Oryza sativa Japonica Group: one gene and its partner. The protein of the gene in region 2 interacts with the protein of the main gene of each other region in a pairwise test. Links are inferred from orthologs where the notes say so. Each region holds a gene or a part of one and is shown on either strand. Other genes may lie near its edges.

Region 1 (3,758 bases), on a different chromosome or scaffold from region 2:
TTAAATTGTTTAGGCAAAAGCTTCTGAGAACAAAGGGATCTGCTTCTTCCCCTTTTCTTTTACTGTAGTTTCTGGAGATCTGTTTGCGAAAGACAAACTGTGCATTTCTTCACCTGAACAGCTCTATCATGCAACATGTTTTCATGCTTTTAAAAGGCACAATACCTTGATCTGAACAAGATACAAATTCATTCTTTTGATGAATATACATTGAGCAACATACTGTTCTTTCCTTGTGTACCATGCCTAATGTTTTTAAATTGCAGAAAATCTATCTAAACAGATCTAGCCTGTCCTCTGCCCAGCAAGAATGATCTAGTAGCCTTCAACTTCTTCAATTAACAGACTAATAGCAACACATCATAAATGCCAATTAAGGATAGTACTTCTTTGATGTCATGTGACAACTACTACCACATCTTCTGAATGATAGAGTGCCTTCTTAATTATCCATCATACTCAAGCCCACATCTTGCGATGATCATACTGATAGTACACATGACCCAGCTAATACTCCAGTACCAACCCCTACTTTGACTAAATAATAGTAATAGTACAACATGATCATACACCCAATTCTCTTACCCATGGATTACTTCAGATAAGAGGTTGCTAAAATGCTAAATAGAACAGTAAGTAGACTAAATGGTTCATCCTTCATTTCTGGAGTAATCCAAGTCTATTACACATGTAATTAAGCAGCTACTACTACAACACTTGCTTCCACCAATCAACTACTCCAGCTAAGGAAGAGGCGATCCGTGCATTGCGTATCCTGTCACGGTCGGCCACCGCGCGGCACGAGGTAGACCCGGGCTCGCACCACGGCGCCATTGCCCAGCCGGAAGCCGGGCGCCACGGCGAACCCGACGACCATGCCGGCGGCGCCGCCGCCGCGCCCGCCGGCGACGCTCTCCATGTAATCCGGGTGGAACTCGGCGCCGCGGCCGGCCTCGAAGTGGCTGGGCGGCGTCTCGAGCGCGAACGCCAGCAGGTGCAGCATCCACACCGCCTTCGCGGCGCGCAGGAACTCCCCGTAGAATGGCGTCCGCGGGTGCGCGCCGCCCTCCACCGCCCTCCGGTGCTCGCCGTCGCCGAGGACGGCCTGCTCCACGCGCGGCGGGAGGAGCGCCGCGAACTTGCTCGCGGCGTAGCGGCCGAAGGGGCAGGTCGGGAGGAGGCCCAGGAGCTCGGCGGGCTCCATGCCCCGCATGTCGCGGAACTGCGTGTACCGCTCCCGCCGGAACGCGGCGGGGTCGAGCAGCGAGGAGAGGGAGCCGTCGAGGTAGAAGGATTCGTGCTCGAAGCCGACGAGGAGGACGCGGGTGACGTGCGCCTCGAGCGCGTGCTTGGCCAGCTGCGGCGAGGACACCGGGATCTTGGTGAGGGACCGGGTCGCCGCCGCGAGGTCAAGCCCCGCCGCGCGCATCAGCTGGAGGAGGTGCCCCGCGAACGCCCGGATCGCGGCGCGGGCCTGCTCGGCGCAGGCGGCGAACAGCTCCGCGGTCGGGGCGCCGCCGCCGCCGCCGGAGGCATTGTGCTTGGAGGGGTGGTGGCGTGAGTTGCGGCGGTTGCTCGCGACGGCGAGCTTCTCCTTGAGGCCATCGACCTCGGCCTGCTTGGCTTGGAGCTGGCGGCGGAGGTCGTCGAGCGCGGCCTCGTACGGCGCGACGGCCTCGCGGAGCGGCGGCGCGGTGGGGATGGGGCCGGGGATGTGCCCCCCCGTGGCGACGGAGCGGCGGAAGCGGTCGCGGAGCCGCGCGAGGTGGCGGAGCTTGGCGACGACGGCGGCGTCGGCGCTCCGCATCTTGTCGGGGTCCCAGGGGCAGTGTGCCCCCTGGAGGTCAGAGTACGCGCGGCGCACGCCGGAGACCGCGTCGAACACCTCCGCCATGAGCGTCTCCGCCTCCCTCGCCCGCTCAGCCCCACTCGCCGCCACCGCCGCCGCCGCCTTCACCTTCCTCTTCTCCTCCCAGATCTTCAGATTCTCCTCATCCTCCTCCTCCCCACCCTCACCACCATCCTCCCCCTCATCATCAGCCTCCGCCTCCGCCTCCGCCTCCTCGGAAGAAGAGGGAGTGCGCCGCCGCTCGCCACCGGCCCCCGAGATGGCGTCAGCGAAGGGGTCGTCGTCGTCGTCGTCGTCGAAGTCGGTGTCGCCGGAGTCGCTGACCGCGTAGCTGCCGGGGAGGCGGTTGGAGAGGCAGGAGGTGGCGACGCGGTGGATCAGATCGCCAATGGTGACAGCCTTGTTCGCCATTTCTTGATTGATGGGCAAACAGCCGCAGCAGCTGCGACTGTGCGAGACGAGACGAGTGACGAGGTGGGGCGTGTGTGAATTTAAGAGGAGGGGAGGCCAAGCCAAACACCCGAACAAAATGGGAGACAGATGCTCTGCGCAAACATGGAGGTCAGCCAGATGCAGACAAGGCAGTGAGCTGGGAAGCTCAGGCTCAATACTATTTAACCTCACCACCAATTCCCTCGGCTAAACAACCACCATTCAAACGATGCTAATGAGCCACTAATCTCCACTTTAAAACCAGCATTCTAGTACCAACACACATCAGCATAGGAGTAGTAGTGTACTCCCTCCGTTCTTAAAAAAAAAGAATCTAGGACTAGATGTGACATATTCCAGTATAACAAATCTAAACAGACGTATGTCTTTTTGTTGTACTAGAATGTGCCACTTTACTAGGTTGATTTTTTATGGGACGAATGGAATAGTGTGTTAGCAAGGGGCATTGCTTCGGTTTCCTTGATGCAAACTACTGCAGTAAATATGTAGGCTACACTGTAAGTTTGATCATATGTCTCCATGATCAAAGTGCGAGTCAACCGAAGTTTTATGTTACGAGCTGTGATAATGTGGTATGACTTTCTTTTCTTTAGTGTTATGGTAGCCCGGATTATGCGGCTGAGCATGTGATCAATGCATTCATCTACCAGACGCCTGCTTGGTCTGGGCAAGTGGATAGCTTAACCTCTTTTGACCTTTCCAACCGTGAAAAGCACTTGTTGTAATGTACTAATCGAGACCATTTGCTCTGCGAAACATGCAGACCAGCCAGATGCGAATGAATGTAGGTTTTCACCCAGTATGGTGATGATGGGCACCGGCAGATAGAGCACCGTACCAGCGAGGAAGGCCCCATAGATAAGGCGGAGCGTGATGAGACAATGGCGAGTAGCAACACCTAACGCCATAGGAGGAGAAGAAATAGATGGAGAGAGGGGTTAAAGTACAAAAATAGATTTCCTGATATTTTCGTTAAAATCTTTCCTTAGTTCCAACTAATTTTTTGAATTCAAATCCAAATACGTTCAGATATTTTCCAAAAAAAAAAAGCACACTAGTAGAAAATACAAATGATGTGCTGAATCATCTCTTTCTTCGACGGCCCGCTTTTCCTCTCTCCTTTTTCGGCCCTAGCGAACCAGCTGGCTCAGCCCATCTCTCCTTTCCTTCACCGGCACGGCCCTAGCGTGGCCTTTCATCTGTTTTTCTTTTTCTGCACGGGCCACATGCTCACATCTGGGCTGGAGTAACACAGGATGAGAAGAGAAGAGCGCCGGCGCATGGTGTACTTGTTGCTCTCGCGGTCTCGCCTCTTGCGATTGGAGCGTCACAAACAGCACATCTCTGGATCGTCATCCATGCCAATCAGATGGCAGCACCAACGAGTAGTAGATCCAATAGAATAATAAGAAGATGAGAGCCACGAACAACAACAAAAAGAATCGGAGAGAAACAA
Region 2 (2,778 bases):
CGTGGACGGCCGATCCATCGGTCGAGGGGCCGGCAAGCGGCGGGGTCGCCGGACTCCGGCGATGGGGAAGGTAGTGCACGTGGAGTCGGGTCGGACTCGGAGGGTGGGTGGGTGGAATTGGGCGCAAGCGGTTGTGGTTTTTCTTGGGCTAAGACAATTTGGGCCGCTCGTGTGGCCGTGTAGAGACCTTCAGCGCAGTAAACTAGTACAAATTTTACCGACGTGGCGTTTATTAGTGTGGCCCATGTACGGCCCACAGGAATTTATTTTTGTGTGGAGGATTGTACAGCTTGTTTGGCAACTTGGACTAAGGAGATCGGGAGGTTATAGGAGAGAATTGTTAGTGAGATTTAATATGAAAATTTGATTTTTAATCCCGCTATTTTGTTGGTAGATGTAGTGGAAAATGATAAGGAGTCCAAATGAAGATCAGATTTAAATGAAAACGAATGACTGACATTATGACATTTGTTTAGACAACGTAAAAGAGAATTCCTCTCAGATTTCATAGCTGAGTATAAAGGAACGGAGGGAGAAATCCGGTAAAGGATTTGACAAGCTTACGAATAAATTGAACCAACGAATATGAAGATTTGCGTTACAAGAAAAATTTAAGCAGCAACCAGGTGAGAACACATCACCACGTTATATATGTTGTCTACACAAAGAGGGACACAGCATCAAAGATACATTTCACTCCTATCCCTACCAACTTTCACTATTTTGTTTTACCTTGCACTGTAACAAGGATAACCGATCAGCAACTAACAGCGGTATCACCTCTCCCTAATCTATCTCCCTTTTTCTCTTGATCTGCTCGACTCATGCATAGATGCATGCCTTGTTACAGATACTGTGCTTGTATTCTGTCTCTGTTGTGCTCCCACCAAACCTTCGCCCTGTCCTCACCAAACCTCTCGCGGCTGCAGAAGCAGAGAATCAATTGAGTACGATTAAGCATGGATCAATCAGAAAGTAGTCCCTAGGCGAGTATATACATGAAATTCTGGTTAGATTTGAAAGATTTGTGTTGGTGACATGGTAAACCTAAGATGTTTTGGCTATCCGTGCGTGATTAGTGTATACCTGAACCGGATGCGGCGGAGCTCGCGGGTGCCGTCGCCGAGCTCGCGGATAGTGAGGCAGACGCCCGGCTCGTCCTGCTCGATCCACTCGGTCGCCTCCATGTCGCTCGCGTTGCTGATGGACACGGAGGCCTCGTCGCGGGACGAGGTGGTCCCCCGCGACGGGTCGTACAACGATGGGACGCCGCCGCCCGCCGCGGACGGGCCGGCCGCAGCGGAGTTGAGCATGTTGAAGTGGTGCGCCCACACGTGGTCGGACGGGTCGGGCACTGCCACCGATGGGTAGCACGCCGCTCTTGTGGAAGCCGCCGCCGCGGCGTAATTAGACGCCGAAGCCGCCATCGCCTTGCACGACATGCTCCTTGCGATCGGCTCTTTGGCCAGCGACGACGACGTCGCCGGCGTCACGACCGGACTCTCCCGGGTCGATCCGCCCCTGGAGCAGAACGATGATTCTCTCTGCATTCATGCACGGTCCAGATTTTTCAGTGAGTTGCATTATTGATCATGCAGATGAAAACAACGTGATGATTTCGAAGTAGCATAGAATGCCCGTGAAATCTTTGAAGGGCGTAGTACCGACCAGAATAGAGTCGTCGACGGAGGACGTGGGAGTGGACACGCCTTGCTGCCGGCCGCTGAACGTCTGCACGTTGTACAGCTCGACGATGCGGTCGTAGTTCTCGCCCCACCAACGCTGCGCCTCCCACTTGTTAAAAATCTCTCGGCTACACACACCAATACGCACGTGCGTGAGAGTTAACTCTGGACAAATCGCTCGCACACAATACGTGCAGAGAATACAATCAACCGTGGAAATGGAGCAGATATGATCAGTGTCAGAACCTGAACCGGATGCGCTTGAGGTCGTTGCCACCGCCGGGGAGCGTGACGAAGGTGATCTGGACGCCGGGCTCCACCTGCGCCGTCCACTCCCTCGGCACGGCATCCTCCACGACGGTGACGTCGTCGGCGCCGGCCTCCTCCTCGATGCTCTGTATCCACGTCGTGCCGCCGGGGCTCCTGCCGGCATCCTGCTGCCACCCTCGGTTGCTCTTGCTCCTGGTCATGTCCCATGTCGCCATCGACGTCGACGCGGCCCGGACGGGCGGCGGCGGCGCCGCTCTCGTGTACATGTAGGCCTCACCTCCAGGCCTGGTCGTCGTCATGAACGCGGAGTCATCGATGAAGCCCGGGTACGGACGGCGGTAGCTCCTGCTCCTGAACGAAGGGCTACCGGCCGTCGCCGCCTTGTAGTGCTGATGCTTGTTGGAGCCGGAGAACTTGAGCACCATGTCCTTGAGCTGGAGACAACACATTGCATCGTAGGAGCCTAGTTAGCTACCACTCAGTCACGCGAGAGTCACTTCGCGAGTGTTATGTGCATCAGCTCTCACTGGAATTACTGGCATAAGTAGCTATCACATCGTATAATATCTGTGATACATTTACATGTGTCAATACTTAGCTTGCTTGGATCAAAAGTAAATAGTTTTTTAATCATGAACATCCATAAACATGTGTATCCATATGTGTGACCTTTAAATTAGGGAAGAGTACCGAGAATGATGCCTGCTGACCGATGACCTCATATGACAAACAGGTTTAAATCAAAAGTGGCCACTGGCTGCTAGCTAGGTCACAAAAAAAAAAAAACTAGTAGTAACACACAAATATACTTGGTACAAATTAA

What was found.
Region 1: the proteins of putative protein Brevis radix-like 3 (region 2) and protein GRAVITROPIC IN THE LIGHT 1 interact in binary tests that used the Arabidopsis thaliana proteins (3 or more experiments, as listed by UniProt). The link is inferred for Oryza sativa Japonica Group from reciprocal best matches to the Arabidopsis thaliana genes BRX and GIL1.

Annotation. Positions count from the first base shown.
Region 1 is NC_089037.1:35,647,786-35,651,543, forward strand, and holds protein GRAVITROPIC IN THE LIGHT 1, read right to left. Parts: upstream 2,314-3,758; 5' UTR 2,261-2,313; coding exon 779-2,260; 3' UTR 568-778; downstream 1-567. UniProt on the Arabidopsis thaliana protein: Required for red (R) and far red (FR) light-induced and phytochrome-mediated deregulation of negative gravitropism leading to randomization of hypocotyl growth orientation.
Region 2 is NC_089038.1:30,803,540-30,806,317, forward strand, and holds the end of putative protein Brevis radix-like 3, read right to left. Parts: intron 2,523-2,778; exon of another isoform or gene 2,405-2,522; coding exon of another isoform or gene 2,390-2,404; coding exon 1,932-2,389; intron 1,814-1,931; coding exon 1,669-1,813; intron 1,545-1,668; coding exon 1,087-1,544; intron 924-1,086; coding exon 845-923; 3' UTR 544-844; downstream 1-543. UniProt on the Arabidopsis thaliana protein: Acts as a regulator of cell proliferation and elongation in the root and shoot. Regulates roots architecture and primary root protophloem differentiation.